Linked DNA regions of Drosophila melanogaster. The protein of the gene in region 1 purifies or fractionates together with the protein of each later gene. This does not show direct contact. Each region holds a gene or a part of one and is shown on either strand. Other genes may lie near its edges.

Region 1 (6,331 bases):
CTCAGACTGCAACTGGAACAGAAATAAATATTTAATTATCCACCAGATATTCCGGATAAAACGTGTATCTCATGAATAAAACAAAATACAAAACGAGTTTCGGGCAATCGGAATTTGGCTGACGATCTTTACGATCGTCGCGACATAAGTGTTATGGATCGTTTTTGGTTCAGCTTGATGGGTTTTGCTACTTTTTGACGAATTTCGCTTAGTCGAAATTTGGCACATTTATGTTGGCAGTTAAGCCTTAAGTGGAGTTCTATGCCATTTGCCATCTCACATGGAATGGAACTTCAACTTTTAATTGGCAGTGCCGAGCGATAGTGAGCTGTGCTGCTCTTCCTCTAACCACTAATGATTTGGGTATGGGATTGGGGCATATGCGCAGTTCTCTAGTTAATTAAAATTTTTACTCGAGGATGAGCTCCTTTGATGGCAAAAGCATAAGCGTAGGCCCACGCACCCAAACTGCAGGTATGCATACCTACGTACATGTCAGGGAAATGGAATCCGTTTGAAAAGTTGTCTGCTAAGCAGTTTTCCCCGCTCCAAACGAGTCACGTTTGCCTTTGCCTTCTCTATTTGCACTTTTCACTTATCTAGCCAGGCGGCACACAAACACTTGCCGGCGGAGGAGATACGCGGATACATGGGCTCATATCTCATGGCTTGCTCTAATTTCTGTTGCGAGTTGCTTAAATATTTAGTAACACGGTCGGGGGCATTGGAACTGCTATGCCTTAAGCATAGATACAGATACTACAGATACTTGCAGGTAAACAGATACAGATACTGTGCGATACGATTAGATACTGCAGCTACGACTTCCTGTGCGTCTTTGTAACGCGCCAATGTTAATGTTCATTTTAATAGGCACGGAGTAATACTGTTTTTTTTTTTTGGCCCAAAAGCAAAGCCAACTCAATTAGCAGTCGAGTGGTGTGCGCAATTAAATTAAAATTTAGTTTTATGCCGAGCGCCTCTACCGGGAACTGCACGGCAAAAGCAAATCGGGAGAAACATATCGTATGCATGGCACCGACGAGAGATTAGCATCACAAACAGCACATAAACGTAAAAGTAACACACTCCAGAGCAAACAGAAAGAGATATAGATGGAGATACGGATACGTACTGTACGGATACAGATACATTAACAGATATACATAGATACATTGGCGGGGCATAAATTCTACGGAGGCGGAGGCAGGCGCAAGTGGAACTATGTAAACAGTAAATAAATGTCGAAAACAAGGTTCGGCATACTTAAGCAGGAGCAACGACCAGAGATACAGAGATACATACATAGGTGCTGATCGGAGATACGCCGCCTGGCATTAGCCAAATTGAAATTCCTCAAAGCCAGCGCTAATAACTTCCAGCTACCAGTTCAATTGGGCATTCTGGCATTCAGGTGGATAAGTCTCTGGGACACACAAACATGCACTTGTAACGCCAACTCTCGGTTGGCTATTCGGTTCTTCACACTTTGATGCCATGGCAATGCGGTCTGCTCAGCAATGTATCTCATAGATAGTTCTTCTTGGCGTTAACTACCTGCGTGTGGGAACGACTGAACAGAATGAGCAAAGAGAACCGAGAACCTCTGCAGACAGGTAAGCATTGGAGGGAAAAGTTGCAACATCATCGCCAGATACATTTGTATTCCAGTCGAGTTTGCGGCTGTGTATCATGTAATTGTGCGTAAACGCGTAAATACCAAGTCAAGGTCGGCTAATCAATAATAATTATTTTTCACTCAATTACACGAAACAGATATATATTGGGTACATTCGCTCGTTTTCGACTGATATTATCGGATTGTATTGCATTATTTGGTTATTCGGTCTTATTTTTGACTTCGGGTATGAAATATGCATAAACAAAAATATGTCGAGTATCTTGTGGATATCGGCTGTGGTAAATATAAATATACCTTCCATAGCCTTCACACAGTTTGGCCTCAGATGCGTGCCACTTGATATGGCAGTGTCGAGAAATCAGAATAACAAATGATGCCGCCGCCTGTGTATCTATGTATCTCTGCATCTGCGAGGTGCCAGATCCGATATGTAATGAACCTGGCGCGGCCAAAAACTTTATCCACGGCACGTCGAAAACTTTTCCGAGGCGTTGCTCAATGCGCAATCTTCTAATTGCAAACGGCGCCCGGCTGTTCGAGTGGTCATAGTTCGCCTCGAGTGGCTGCCCGCTCGAGGGTTTCACTCAGTTCAATGAATTTGCATATGCTTCTAGTTTCTGGCGGGGATTGAGAAGCGGATGGGGTCTAGAACGGACTAGAAATAAGAGAAACTGCAGCTGCGGGATGGCAAAAACTTTGGCTGACGCGCGATTTACTTGGTTGAAGTATGGAAGACTGATGGCGAGGCGAGGGTTAAGACAAACTCTGAAATCAAGGCAATGAATTTCCCGCAAAAGAAATGTTTTTAAACGGAGAGGATGCAAAAGTAATTAAATTGAAAAACCATTATCAATAATCCCAATTTATGTACCTCTTTCTTATTTAATGGAGTAGATAACTTAGACTTTAAGTATTCGAACCACTCTAGTGACCTGGGGAAATAACATACGTTTTCCTCTGCATAGTTTAAAGTTAGTACGTTTGCTCCTAAGGGGCCTTAACCATATTGGTAGCTTTAACTTCCTCCATCGTTCCCCGCTTCTTCCCCAGCCCGCATGTCCAAGTGCATACTCGATATTATAACTCTACGGATGGATGGCGTGAACTTTACCTTTTTCGCTGTAAGTCCCACTCGACTTGATGTCGATCGATTCGAAGTAGCTCTTGACGGCATCACACTGGTGGGTCGATCCCCCAACGGCGTCCTTCGCCCGCGAGTCCCGCTGTAGGCGACGTCTGTGGTGCGTGGTGGCGCTGTGCAGGTGGTGCTGGTGGTGGTGGATACCATCCAGGTCCAGGTGCTTGGCGGCTGACAGGCCGACGAAGCCGCAGAGCAGGGTAAATAGCAAAAGCTGCGCTAGCCGCACGCTCCTGGCCGCCATTTTTGATGGGTGATTTCTGTGTGCAGACACAGTGGATGATGGGGCTAAATTTGATTTGCCTTTGAATGCTTCTCTTATTTTTATTTTAGCCGGTTATTTTATTTACTCTATTTTGCAGCACTTCTTCGTATTTACTTCTGCATGCTGTCTGGGTGAACAGCTGTTCGCGGCAACAAACACACACACTCACACAAATGCACTTGCCGGCTAACACGCACACACACACACTGGCACACACGGCCACAAACACGAGCGCACAAAACAAAAGGCCCCAAAAACACGCGTGAGCAATAAACGTGGTAGTAAACGTGGGATGGCGATAGTGGGTGGTGGTGGGTGGTGGTCGAAGAGAGAGCGCGTGTCTAGCACTTTTTGCTTTTCTACTTTCTAGTTTTGAAAGGTCGCTAAATTTCTCACAAGTATTTTCTTAACTTATTCAGAGACTTTCCATGACATAACAACGAATAGTACTCAATTCCTTAGCAATTGATTTGCCAGCGATTAGATTTGTTTTTTTTTTCTTCTTTTTAATTTTCTCCTACGTTTTGTGTACTTAGGTCGGCGAAAATAGATTTAATTGCAAAGCTCCTTGGCCACCGGCGTTCTCAGGTCGAGGAAATGCACTCGCCTTCTTTTCTAGCGTTTTTCCGCTCGAATTTCGCACCGATATTTTCAGTTTTTCCGCGCGCGCAACGAACCTTCCACGACGAGAAACCCGAACAGATTGACTTTGCCATCGAAATCAAACATCCGCCCTGAGTGCTACAACTTTAACGATGCGAACACGAACCACACTCGGCACTCGACAATCGGCGCTAAGAGAACCATCCGAACGCTCTCTTTCGAACAAAAGAGAACGGCGAGCACAGATGTTGGCACAGTGGTGCAATGAATAGAGGTGTTTATGCGAACTCAATTTAATTCACAGGTTAACGCCGAGAATACATGAGTAATACAAGGGCGCAATCTGAAATGAATTAATTAATTTGAGTCTTTAGAGTTTTGGAAAACGAGCTTCGAACTAAACCACAAACTTTGTAATGCTTATTAGATATTATAAAGTATTTTAATTAAGGAATGCCCAACCACAATTTATAAGATGTTGTATTTATTAACAGCATGTAGTATGAGTAAAAGGGGAAATTAAAGTTAGTAACGCAAGCTTAGCTTTCGTAAGATATCTATTCTCTTCGATGATTGCCAAACGATTTCGACAGCCAATGAATCTACGTAGTTCCATAAAATTTGATATGACACATATCCTGTTTTCGTTTTATATATTTCAATAGTGATTCGCATTTATTTATGGGTTCCGGCATTCTTCAGGACCAACTTCGAGTTTTCCCTGGCCGTGTCATCTGCCACAGGAGCTGGCTTGATTCTGATTATTTTTCTCTGTGTCCGATGGGCCTAAATATTTATTCAAATTCTCGAAATGCTCTTCTAAAAGCTTTCAACGTTGGCTCGCTGCAATTTGCATATTCAACGTAAATCAATCCATCTCACAGTGGTCTTCTCGGGTGCTCCGGTGGCTTTTAATCCGGGCTTTTATCGATGCCGCTGGTTGAAATTTGCATGCTCGGTTCTAATTGATGTCTGAATGAGTTCTAATTTTATTTCATAGGCTATGTTTTACGATCGGCTTGATGAACCCGTGGAGCAGGCTCAGATTTCACGCCTTTGAAGAGTCTCAGATGCTTGGCAGCTATTTCCCTAGGGCTAAATGTTTCTGTTCAAATTGATAGCCGTGTCATGACCTCGCACAGCACGTGTGGTGGTATCGTTTGTTTTTTTTTCTTCATTTCTTTTCTTTTGTTAATTTTTTCCCTTTGCAATTTGCGAAAACGAAGCGATTGTCTTGAGGCTGCAGCGGTGTGGCAGACAATGCACGACCCGAACACACCAGCCTCTTCTCCCCGGACTTTCACTCGTCACCCCGCGGGCACCGACCTCGATCTTAAATACCTAGGCGTCTCGGGGCGTCTGTGTATCTATTTCTTCATTAACAAGATACTATATAGCCAGGGCAGCGGGAACTTCATGGTGGTCAGTTGCGGGCGTCCAGCTGGGCGCAAACGCCCTCCCACCCCCCATGGATGTTTTCCGTTCCCGGTGATATGTTCATCACGAAATGGAATCCTATTCAAATTAGTGTGCGATAAAGAAAGACCTCCCAAAAAATAAGAAAAAAAAAAGGAGAAGACTCAAGACCCCGGGGCAAACAGCGAAAAGTGAGTCATGCGAAGCGGAAACAGTTCTCCAATGAAACGAATCCACATCAGAAACAACCGTGATGATGATGATGATGATGATGGTGATGGGATGGCGAAACGGCAACAAAAAACAAAAACGAGCTGGAAAAGGTGAGGTCGAAAATTAAACACCACCACATCGTTTAGATAAAGTTATAAATTATAATGTACACTACGGAACGATCGATGAGAGCGAAGGTCCCAAAGAAACCGAAACCGAAACCAAAACCAAAACCCTTTTACTTCTCGCTCTCTCGCCTTATTTTCCGTTTTTTTTTCCTCCTTATTTTTGTATCGCACAGGTAAACCGTAGGCATATATATTATATAGGTGTGTGGGTAAAGGTAGGACTGGAATTAAACGAATTTAGTCAAACGGCATCTATAAATTATGGTGCTTCTTTTTGGCGATCGGGAAAATATGAACGCTTTTAGCTCGGCTCGTTGGCTTGTTGGCCCAACTCGAATTTCGTTTAAACGCTTGATTTAGTGCAGCAAAATATGGCCAAATGTTGGGCTATCTATGCAGTTGTATCCGCTTGTGTTTGTGTGTGTGCGCGCATTCCACAAGCGACAGCGTTTTACACTTGAAATCCTCCGGAGCGGGTCGAAAAGAGATGGATATATATACCCATGGAGCGACCCGGCTTGCCTTTTATCCTGGCACAAACACGTTGGTGGCATTCGGTTGTTGGTGTGCCTGCCTGTGTGTGTGACTGGTCCAACAGGTTCCACGGAGATTCTTCTCCAGTACCGCTCCCTCATGCCCGAAGACTGGCATGCAGCATTTCTCGTTCTCGGTCTCGTTTTGCACATTTTTGAATTTTATTTTAATTTCTTTTTATTATATTTTAGCTGCCAGGCTGCCCCTTTTCAGTGGGGGCCCCCCTTTTCTGGTACTTCGCTTCGGGTTTCTTCTGCTTTGAGTTTGGAGTTTGTGTGCAACTTTGGGCTTGCTGGCTTTTCATTCACCAAAAACTGGTTCGACGTTTAAGTTCTTCACTTGGCTTAGACGGGGGTTTTCAAGGAAGTTCTTCGATCCCACACCCCTCTCGT
Region 2 (6,108 bases), on another chromosome or scaffold:
CTACGAATTAAGCCGGATTACGTGAAAACACTCACTTTAAATACCTCAAATAAATCAAGAACTCACACATCTACAATTGTGCCACATAGTATTTAAGTGTATGTCTTGTAAATAAATACAAATACAGCGAAACAAGTACAGATGAAGACACATTGTGAGAGACATGCATTTAAACGATTCTTTATCACCAGCGATGGGTGCTCAGGCCAAAGCCGAGTGTATTTAATATAATCTCATTATAATCGGACTTCGACATACTCGACCCTAGCTTAGTACCTTTACCTACTCTCAATTTTCATCTAATACATAAGACAAAAATAAAATAAAGAATAATTAAATATAGATATAATTAAATAAAAATATATCGCTTTGCATAATACGTGCTCAACTTACAATGGCTGATATAAAATATAGAATATATAGAAAATGTAGACGCTATAGTACCATTTCCCGTCTTTCACCTACATTTTCTCGATATACCAGTGGAAAATGACCAGAAAAATAATAACATGAAAAAAAATCACAAAATTTTTTTTAAGTGTGGGCGTGACAGTGAGCGACGTAAAAATCGGTAGATTGTAAAATCTGATTGATAAATCTGACTGATAACAAAAATGCAAAATATCAAACATTTTTCAAAAGTGTGGGCACGGACGGACATGCCCAGATCGATTTGGTAAGAAATCCTGCTCAAGTTTATATATATATATATATACTTTACAGGGTCGTTTATGCTTGCTTCTAAACTTGGTTGTTTTGGGTGACCACCCCCTTCTGGCCATCCTACCAGACCTATTATACCCAATTAAGCATTTTAATTTACACTTCACCGCATTTTCTGGCAAGCCATATGTTACCAAAACCACCCACAGTCTCCATTAAAAATGTAACTTAAAAGCAAATATTGTTCGAATCACTCTATTACTTTAGTAGTACAAAATCCTTTCATCTACCTTTTCAATATTTTAAATATGGCTTTGGGCTAATAAAGTAATAAACAAATCGCAAATTACGTTTTCCTCTTAAAGGTGTTGAAAACTGTAAGAAATGCAAAGTATAATTGTGATTATAAATGTTGAAAACTGATATTTATATACTTGACAGTCTCAAAAGTGTGTAAACTTGGAATTTGTTGTTTATTTTCTTGTATAATTAATATTTTTAATTCGTTTTTTGATTCATAAGTAAAATAAATATTGATTAATTATATTTTAGAAAAAAATTGCGTTTAATTTAAGCAAAGAACCCTTAGTTTTTACCTTTAAAGTCAAAAATTCAACTTATTTCACAGTGTGTAAACAGTTTCTTGACAAACTGTATGTGCAAATAAGAAAACTAGTTGTAACTCTAAAGCAATTATGTTTTATGTATAGGTATTGAGAAATTCGATGTAACAATTGTTATCATTCCAAATTTAATGTGAATGCGCAAGTACACACATACATACATACATATATGCATTTGCAGAGATTGTCACTTGCAATCCATGTTTGCACACATCTGTAATGGAATTTGTTATACATTTTTATGCCCTTTTTTCATATAGATGAAAGTATGCTTACAAATGCAAGCATAGGTACATAGGTATTTAAAATATGCATACACATATTTACACATGTATATTTATTTGATTTTGAACAGATGTATAAAATATGTTTATATGAAAGTTCGTTCCTGAATTGCAGTTAACGACTGATAAGAAACTTTAATCTGTAATTAAAAGTTGCTGGAAAGCAAAACGCTGCTCGATAAGCACGCAGAAAGGCAGCCTGCGTGATCGGACAGAAAAAATTACAGTTCGAAAGAAGTTTACTCTTGTATTGTTCCCGGTTAGTAAATAAATCATCGTAAACGGAAGTCCACGCTTTGAAGATGATCACTAATAGTGCGTTGTGACAGCAGGAGACCACTGTTTAGAAGCGTAGAATAGGATGTCAGTTACGATTGTCTGATTACAACCATTTAAATCTTTTTTCTTTAACCATTAAAAAGTTAGATTACCGTGCCCACATTTTCTGAAAAGATTCCGCTGATGAATTGAGCTCTATGGCCGTACATATGTGAAGTGATTCCAAGTCAGCTTCCTTTTAAAAGTGCACCTTTCATGATAGATTTCCCATATTTAGGGTTTTTATACCACTTGACTAAAAAGGTATTTGATTAATTAATAATTATTTTGGCTCCTAATTATGTGGCTCCTTAGAAATCGGTCATTCCCCTATCCTTTACAATACTCCTCCACCGAGCTTAATTTCGCTTCGATTGGGCCAAACAATTAGACGATTGGGTGTGGTGTTCAAAAATATGGATATCGTTATGGTACTTATTTACAAGCAACTGTGGTTTGCAATCATTTTTATATTAACGAGGAACTTTATTCAATGAAATTAATATTTATATTCAGACCTCCACGGTATTTAATGTGAATTTCTTACATGAAGATAAGAAGAGAACAGAATTTTCTTCTTGAATATGAAGTAATATGACTTCGCATTTACATTTACATTTATTAGCAAATTAGCTGAACCAAATATCACGAAAAAATAAATTGAAAGAGCCGCACCAGATTTAATTTATTTTAAAATTCCTTTGTCTGGGAGAAGAACAAAAATGCAATTTCGGATGATGTTGAAACGAGATTTATTTCATAAAGTTAACTTATAAATATTTTTAATAACAGTGGTCGAGTGAGCGAATTTATCGGAAGCCACCTACATGACAGCCATTTGTTTTGTTTGGGCCCAAAGGAAATATTATAAAAATTTGAGTTAAAAATTTGTTCAGGGGTTTATCAATTATTGATCAGTTTCTGGAAAGCGGTGGAGTCGATATCGCCGTTCATCGTCTGTTTTGCCATCCGTTCGCTTCTACACAAACTTGTCTCACTAATTATCCCTGAATGAAACTTTCCCATAAAGTTTTCCAGTGACAGCTATAGTCAAGTTCCCCGACAGTCAGATATCCCTTACTCGACAAACGGAAGAGCAAAATATTTCCTTATTTATCGGCATTTCGATAAAAAATTAAAAAAAAAAATATTAATAAATAAATCGAAATATATCATAAATGTATTCGTGACGGATTGGAAAGGTGGCGTTGGGGTACATCGCTAGGCAAAATAAATTATATAATCCATGCAAATAAAATTATTCCTCAAAAGTGTGTGGGCGTGGGAGTTTTCGGAGGGTTTGTGGGGCGTGGCCAAAATGTTATTGGTTAACCGATAGAAATTAGAAAAATATATAATAAAAAAAACAAATATTTTTGAAAGGTATGGGTGTAGCAATTTTGTGCGGTTTGTACATCTGCGTTAGAGCGGGCATGAAAGCAAACTGGCTCTGCGCGTATGTCTCTGCAGTACGCATTCTTAATCTTAACTTTTTAGCTTATAGTTCCTGAGATCTATACGCTTACAGGGAAGGTCATACAGACTGACACTTTGAGACACATCTTATATAAGAGTGCACGTGTCCGATTGTTCGTTGGAGTGACTATACCTGCTAAAATAAACAAAATGTACACGTTACCCACTTGGGATTAGTTCGATTCTAGGACTTAGGTTAGAGGTGGAGAAACATCGATGTTGGTGGACATCGATGTTTTTGGCGAATTTTTCGTTGATATTTTAAGATTTATAAATAAAAATACATAACAATATTGTTTCAACGCACGGTTTAATGTTTATGTAATAATTAAAGTCCTTTGGCATGAATTTGTTCACACTCTATTCATTTATTCTATCGTACTAAAGTAGTCTCAATCAAACAATTAGTTCTCTCAATACCTTACATTGACTTATAGTCCGCCTATAATCAGATTAGGATTATTTTCTTTGATTGCCAAGGTGCCGTTTAGGCAAAACTACATATATATGTTTTATATGGATTTAGCTTCAATATCTCGCTTAAGTGTGTCTATGGTCTTATTAGCTTTCGAGATATAAAGCGATTGTACGAAGTGAGTACTACATATTTAATAAGTTCGAATACGAGCCTATGCGCCTAGAATGATTTTCTAGCTCTCGTGTTAAGGTCACACTGCTGGGCCTCATAAATTCGATAAGCGATAGTTTTATTTCCACTTAGTATTGAAATGTCAATAATTTTATAAAAATAATTGTTTTATACATATAGTAAAATTATATGCAGGTTAAAAACAAACCAAACTATCATCATTACAGGTGTAATTTCATTAATGTTAAGGAGTGAAAATATTAAATTAAAATTTCACGACTTTGAATGTTTGATTTAATTTAAATTAGAAAAAGGTTTTTATTATTGTTGTAGGAAAACGGAATCGCGTTTTGTTAAATTTCAATGGAGTCTGTGGCCCAGCAACTTAGAGAGCTGTCGCTTCCAAAAGGTGACACAGGCTCACCGCTTGTATGTATTGGACATGGAAAAGTTGCGAAGCTAGTCGCCAAGATAAGTAATAATCAAAATGCATCAGTAAAGAGGAGATTGGATATACCTCCTAAGCCGCCGATAAAATATAATGAAATGCCTCAGGTACATACATACTTTAGTATAGCCAGTTTGTGTTATATACAAAGCAATTCATTGATTCTCCTCAAAGGCTTGTTCTTTAAGCCTTAAAGTCCGTTATTGTACCGTTTTAGAGGGTATTTCCGTCCCTCTACAAAAGCATATGTAATATACTTATATATTATTGATCGGCTGGACTGTGAGCGAACATTTGCTACCATTCAGATGACAGAAATCAAAAACAAGTACAGACTAATGGATTGTTACACGACATATCAGGAGCAATTCATTAAAAAAAACATAATCAATTTTTAAGTAAATATTGTTTTAAGTATACATATGTAAATTTAGGGGATATTCTTAACTGTACCAGTACCTAAATATCTATCGCATGCCTTTTTCACTTCGGTAAAAACCAAACTGTGCAAACTGTGGCAATATTTAGAACTTTGCACAGCGTACAAAGTCATTAAAATCTGCATGTCACATCTTAGTTTTTATTTATAATACCCTTATTATACCCTGTATTATAAAAAGTTATTATTCTGAAAAACTGTGTATAATAACGTATACTTAAGCATAAATATTTATTTATTTCAGGTTCCATCAAGCAGACAGGTTTTGTGTTCGCGGGAACCACTATATTCACAACCTCTGATTGGAGTCGAGAAAACAATGAGGGGGCATATGCCTTTTAGAAAATACCTCAGCTCTGAATTCGGAGTTGCTGATACTCAAATAAACAGAAAAACAACTTTAGATAATCCGGCAATTTTGGAACAGCAATTAGAAGCTCTTGCTTACCATAAACTTCAAATGGAAAAAAAGGGTCTTTTGGGAGTACAAGCTAAGCCAACACAACCTCTCAACAGCTTTACAAAGCCCCTTTCAAAGACTTTAAGCAAAAGCTTAATATATTCTAATTTAGGTTCTGTTCGCAAAGAAATAGAAACATTAGAACTATTAACAGACGAAACTAAGATTTCTGCGAGTACATATTCAAACGTTAATGAAACTGGTATGTTTATGTAATGCTTATATAAAAATTGTATAGTATTAATTATAAAATAATTTAAATGTCAAAGCAATGGACTCTTCTCATAGCTCAACGCAAAAGATGCTATCCGTCTGCACTAATTTTATTTCAGACAACGAAAAAGATGAGTTACCGCCACCACCTAGTCCAGAGAGCGCTGTGAGTTCTTCATACAGTGAGCTTCGTCACGCCACTTTGGAATTCAACAAACCAATTGATTATTTACAAAATAACCAGACAACGAATCCTTTACAAATATATGCAAACCAATATGCGATGCAGCATGATGCCACAGGCAAGGTACACAAAATCTGAAGTTCATTACTCTGGAGTATATTTCTGTCTGATAAACAATCTTATTCATCTAATAGAAGTGCACGACAAAAATTAAGATATGCAATCAGCAAAGCTGAAGAATAATTAAATGACTTACGAACGTAGGCAGTTTTTTCCATTGAACTTTTAGTTAACTTGAAATATGTTAATGTATATACATTTATTAAAAAAAAAAAAACAATAAACAATAACTATTTCCACATTTAGAAAGAACTTTAAACGTTAAATAGATGGATTAACAACATTTTGTGG
Region 3 (6,049 bases), on another chromosome or scaffold:
TAGAAGCAACAGTCGGACAGGCGGTGTCACAAGGCGCGACGTTCGGGGGGGGGCATTTGGCGCTAGAGGGGGGTACGGAGGAGATTCGGTCGTATCAAATGTTTTGCTTTTTGCTTCTCAGTCTTCTTTTTTTCGCTCGCTCTTTGGTCTTCTGTTTTGGGTTTTGCCAAAACGAAACGAGCCAAGCCGGCTTGTTTAAAAAAGGGGGTTTTTGAATCAGGGGCTTCGGAGCGGGCAGGAGGAGGAGGGGAGGGGGGCATACATGGGTGGCGAGGGGTGTCTCCTATATCGTCTGGCGCTTGGCGACAGCAATTTACCTTTAAGCGAATGCAAAAGTATGCGGAGAGCCGAAGAACAAGCGGCGGAAAAAGTAGTCGCAGCCGCACACAATTACCCCACTAGAAGAATTCTTCGTAGAACGGGAATCGGGAGCGGAGAGCGGGGATTGGGGAATGGGAAATGGGTTCTCTATAGCTGGACCATCTCTATAAATAAGTTAAAAGTCGCTGGCCGAACCAGCTGCACCATAAATCATAAGCAGACGCGCGAGTGTCGAGTTATTATGCGATCATATTTTAATTGGTGGATTATTATTATGCAGGCAGTGTTGCAGACCGCAGTCCCCCCCCCTTCACCCCCTCGACAGCATAATCAAGTGCAGCAAACAAACAAACAAAAACACCTGCAAAGACACCAGTTGCACTGGCTGCTCACCTCTCCAGGTGAGCGTGCGGATTGCAGATCGCTCGCCTCGAGAGTCCCGTGTGTGGAGCAGAACCGAATCCCCCCAAGATTGTGGACCGCAGATCGGGGATCGCAGACCGCCTGGCTCTGCTGTGCTTGGACAGGTGCGTGAACGTGGCCAGCGGGAGCGAGAAAGAGTCGCAACCCGAATCGTACCCTAACGTATCCGAACAGGGAGTACCCTGGAAAGCACGCTCTTCTAAGTCCTTTAGAATCTGAATACATGTATTACTTAAAGGATCTAAGATAACGCAGATCAAATTAAATTGGAAAATAAATCATTTTAAGTTTCGCTTTTCTGTGGGCAAGTTACTAGAGTTAGTAAGTTAGTTATCATGCCTTTCTCAACCCCAAAAGATTCACTCCATCCAAAGGACTTTCTAACTTCAAAACTTGTAAAAACTACTTTCTGCCCATCTTCATTCAAGAGTTCCCCAACTCGTGCTAAGCAAACAACATCATCCACTTCAATTACCCTTGATCCAAGGGTATAAACACATAGTTTTTTTTTTAAACCAAATTCACATGCAGTTCGTAGTTGTAGTTGCAGTTGTTATTGTTGATGTTGATGTTGGTCGGTGGACAGAAGGGGCAAACGAGTTGGCCCCGCCGCCTGTGTATGCCAGTTGTCAGTTGGCAAAACTGGTATGGTTGCATTTTTATTATAAAGCGAACAGAAACAACAACAAAAAGCGACACCTAGGCAGTACGGGAAAGTCCGTCCGTTTGTCTCTGCCACTGCAAGTCAGGGATCGGAGGATAGGGGATTGGTTTGGATAGCTCAAGGATGGGAGGCTTGGGGACGCCGAATGGGAATGGGAATAGGAATGGGGACTGTCATCCATGGGCTGGTGTGTCGCCAGTTTAGCCCAGTACGCGAACTGCTAGTCAGACGTCTGTTCTATGGACGTTTCATGGACATACCGGCGCACATTCGTATTAACCCATGTAGCTTTGGCTTACTACCTGCCCCGCCCCCAAACGTATCCCAATCCCAATTGCAGTCCCCCCTGCAAAGAGCAGTTATTACCAGTGTTATTTACACAGAGATAAATGAAGAATGTGACGAAAGAAAATACGTTAAAACTAGCAAGATATTAGCAATCAAAGATACAGTATGTTGTATTCAAAATACGAAACAATGGTAATACATTTGATAAAACAGATATAAATTTGAACAGAAGTACTTGGATGCATTGAAAATGCTTAAATAATATTTCTTTCCGTGCATACTTTATTGGCTCTTATGTTTGCGTTTCGGTTTGTGTCTCCATTGCCCCAGCAGTCGTAATTTGTTTTGGTGTCCTTCTGCCAGACTGTCCTCCTAATGAGCCAGTTTATTGTATTTCCTATTTGTGGCCCCGTCCACCAAGCGATGACACTTTTTATGGCTCGATGAGGGTAATACAGGAAATGGCCTGCGATTAGCTTAGTGACAATTCTCGCTGCAATTGAAGTTTCAGCTGCAGTTGCAGTTGCAGCAGCAGCTGCTGCAGTGATTTATCATCTTTGCAGCCTGACAGTTGGCCAGCTTATATATCTATATATCACCTGGTGATATTTGACACATCGTTACTAATTGGTTAAACAATATGTATCACCGCTGACTCATGCCCGGCAATAGATAAGGTGTTTTGTGCTCATGCACCCGATCTGCGGCACTTTGTTTAATCGCTCACTTAGTTGGTAGCTGTTAAGCGGCTTAAAGTCGTTCTACACACTCGAAATGCTCACTTAGAACGCCTCAATGGTTTTCGAATTGGATTTATTAAGCCCAAACCAAATGGCTGTCGGGCAATTAAAGCCAACTATGATTTCCGCCTTTACAAAATGCTATGCAAATGTTCTCAATTAAATGCTGGCCCGGACACTCAAACATATGTTTGCTTATTCGCAATTTGATCGGCTTTTGATTTCGAATTTACAACTTTTAATGCTTGGCAGTAATCAATTCGAAGGAAATCAAGAGAGAGAGGCGAGAGCGAGTGCCAAATGTGATAATAGAAACCAAACAATTAAACAATTTTCGCAAAATGTTGAAACAACAAAGGCAGATAGCACACACGTTCGCAGATACACACAGATAAGTGAAATGTTTATATGTTTCGCATTATAATAAAACAAAATCGCACTTGGCATTATAGCAACAAAGAATCGGGGAATCTCCGGATCAGGGAATCGGGGAATCGCGGAATCAGGGAGAGGCAAAGATTAATTACAAAGGAAAAAGTAAAGACGCAAAGTTTACCCGTAATTACACTTCCAGATTTCCAGATGAGGTGCTTCTACTGCTGCTGCTGCTGCTGCTGGTGGCAAGAAATCGGCGGAATCGAAAATTAATTATGCTTGACATGTTGCCAGCGATCATCAGTTCGCCTCTTGTTCTTGCTGTTATTGTTGTCGTCTAGTTGTTGCTGTTGTTGCTGCCACTCGAACCGATATAAATCGCATTTTCAATTGCCTGGGCTTGGGTCTATTTTTTATTTGTATTATTTTTTACGTATGTATGTATTTCTACGCGAAAAAGAGAGGCCACACCGCGTTTGGAAAGAGACGAAGCACTTAGAACTCACTGGCGCATAATTTATTTGAGCCGGCGCGCGCCTTTCATTTCAATTCCCATTTCCATTTCGATTTACATTTGCATTTCAATTTCAATTTGATTGCGAGTACTTCGATTCGCTTGCCACAGATTACGCATACGCCACGTTGTGTGCGCGCTTGTCCGTCGACGCTGTCAAAGGTTCAATTTCGCGCCGTGCCGCAATTGCAATAAGCATTCAATTCAATGCAATTCAATGAAATTGCGCGCCAATTCGCCGGACCCACTGGAAAACGCTGCTAGCCAGTGTTAGTGGAAAACGACGCATTAGCGCACGCAGAAAATCAGAAAAACAGAAAATCGCACAAGTCTGAATATCAGAAATTCAAGCTAAGCCCCGCATTAAGATTCAGTCGCGTTGATAACAAACTTCAAATTCGTTTATGTTGTTTTCTATTTGAATTGCGTTCGGACTACGTATTTTATAGTAATTACGCTCCACCAGCGATCGTTGTCTCGTGTGAATCGGCGAACGTGAAAATCGCGCGCGAGTTTTCCCCTTTTACGGCTGATAGATTTTCCTGGCCAGCAATTTACAATTTCGAGCCACTCTCGAGCGCTTCTGGAAAACCGCACCGCTCGCGTGCGCAGCTAAAGTTGAACTGAGCACTGCAAGCGGAAAAAACGCTGAGAACACTGAGAAAACGCTCGTCTGCGTTCGGGCTGGCCTTCGTGTCGGTGTCGCCGAGCCGAGCCGAGCCGAAGGCGAAGCAGCGCAGCAGCAGAGGATTGGGGCCTCGTTTTTGGGGGCTCGCACTTTGCTGCGATTTTTTAGCGATAAGGGGACTTTTCTGGTGTTGTTGTACAAACGCTAGTTGCCTTCTAAAGTTTTGAACTAATTGTTATGCTTATAGTGATTCCTTAAAAACAAAATACTAGTAAAATATGTTTATAATATTTCATTGTCTACGATAATTTTGAGATAATCTAGATTTTATAGAGATAGTATAGCCCTAAAAAGTTAACAGTCAATGTCTACTAAATTAAACATGTCGTAACATGTTTGAGATGTTAAGATATTCATATCCAACTGTACCCAAATTTCAGGGCTGCCGACTTCAAAGGCGCACTCTTCACGAATTGCAATTGAAATCGAATTTCAATCTACATTCACACATTCCTAAGCGAAATGAACACCTCGACGATGGCAAAGTGTTAACAGGGCGAACATGAGAAGCGACCCCCCCCCCCCCCTGCGCATTGGGTGGGAAATCAACACACCTTAGTAGTCGCATGGTAGGCAAATCAATTCAATGCGATTCGTTTCGATTCAATTCCGGGAACTTTTGCCAATTAGAATTTGTCAACTGGCATTCCGCGCTGTCTGCCTCGACTTCTTTGTTTTGATAGTTCACGGAGGTATTTTCCCGTCTGATAAAGGCATTATTCGGCCGTAGTATCAATTCGATTGCTTTCCACTCGAACCATGAATGAATTGAAGTTCAAAAGCCTGCTGATTAGATCAGTGTGTGTCAGGTGGAATTGAATGACTTTGCAGTCAGGTGAAATTATCACCAGAATGGCATGTACATATGATAGTGTAAACTTGAAAATAAGGTGCTATAAATGACAAGGAATTTCACAATCCATACCAATAGCAATGAATCATTGCAAGTAATAAAAATTTTTTAAGCTAACTAAACTAACCAAAGGCGTGGGCTAAGTTCTAGCTAAGTTACCTGGGAGCTCTTTAGTTTTAGTTGCACTATAAATCGTAAGCAGCAGTTCTTTCCCACAATGAATGAATGAATCCATTCATTATGATCCCCAAAGCCGACGTGACTGCAATCCGAATTGTGTCTTATGGTATTTGTCTCGAATGCGATAATAGCACTTAAAGCTCTTAAATGCATTTGGCAGATGATGAGACAGAGACGGTGGTACAAATGGTGGCGAGTTTTCGAGACCCTGGGATAATTCACACTTAACCCGCAGCCAAATCAAACTGCCAGCCATTTGACATTTATGCGATGGCCTTTTTTTGCATGTTTTTCTTTTTTGTTTTTTTGGAAAAGCTGCCGCGGCACGCTAGGAAAATGCCACGGAGTTGCAGCTGAGCTGGAGATGATTTATGCACTCATTGTATCTGTAGTTGTGGCTGGAAAATTGCAGTTATCACGAACGAAGCTCGGTTTGGATTATGCTTCGGTTTCAGCTTTGCTTATGCTCTTGGTTTCAGCTTTGGATTTGGAGATAGAGATGGAGTTTCCCAGGCCATGGATTTTGTCACTGGAGGTTGCCTAGTCATTATTTATGAGGCGAACGGTGCAATATGCAGCCAGGTGGGAACCGTGACGCAGTCTGTAAAATTAAATAATTGCGTTTCATTAAATGCCGTTTGCTATTTGCATAGGTTCCCCCCGCATTGCAAACAAAGTGCAAAGCAATTTGGCATAAACGTCATCGGGTCGAATTGCTTAGTGTTTGGGTGGATGGGGAGGTAGACGGTGGGCGGTGGGCAGTGGGCGGTGGTTGGAAATCTGAGAATCCCGCCCCACAATTTTCCACGCCACTTGAGCGTAATTAAGCGTTGAGCTTCTAAGCCCTAAGCAAATAGGCAAGCCGTCGAGCGTCTCCAGCCCCAAAACCACCCCCCACATTTGGTGCGATTATCCACAGCCTATATGCTATATATATACGATTGCGAAGCAGTTTGCGCAGCGAATCGATGCTATTTTGATACTGGTAAATATTTGCAATTGG

Evidence for each region.
Region 2: the proteins of dally (region 1) and apolpp purify together in Drosophila melanogaster (affinity purification with western blotting; one study listed by BioGRID). This does not show direct contact.
Region 3: the proteins of dally (region 1) and cv-2 purify together in Drosophila melanogaster (affinity purification with western blotting, with the first as the bait; one study listed by BioGRID). This does not show direct contact.

Annotation. Positions count from the first base shown.
Region 1 is NT_037436.4:8,824,926-8,831,256, reverse strand, and holds the start of dally (division abnormally delayed), read right to left. Parts: upstream 3,753-6,331; 5' UTR 3,025-3,752; coding exon 2,754-3,024; intron 1-2,753. UniProt on the Drosophila melanogaster protein: Cell surface proteoglycan that bears heparan sulfate. Functions as a coreceptor for growth factors and morphogens, such as the products of dpp, to regulate signaling and distribution of these ligands.
Region 2 is NC_004353.4:1,058,813-1,064,920, reverse strand, and holds the start of apolpp (apolipophorin), read right to left. Parts: upstream 3,953-6,108; 5' UTR 3,785-3,952; intron 2,244-3,784; exon of another isoform or gene 2,002-2,243; intron 677-2,001; exon of another isoform or gene 540-676; intron 99-539; exon of another isoform or gene 1-98. Other genes in the region: Zyx (zyxin), read left to right, coding at 4,317-4,508, 5,085-5,502, 5,570-5,820. UniProt on the Drosophila melanogaster protein: Constitutes the major component of lipophorin, which mediates transport for various types of lipids in hemolymph. Acts by forming lipoprotein particles that bind lipoproteins and lipids.
Region 3 is NT_033778.4:21,375,513-21,381,561, forward strand, and holds the start of cv-2 (crossveinless 2), read right to left. Parts: upstream 3,953-6,049; 5' UTR 2,993-3,952; intron 1-2,992.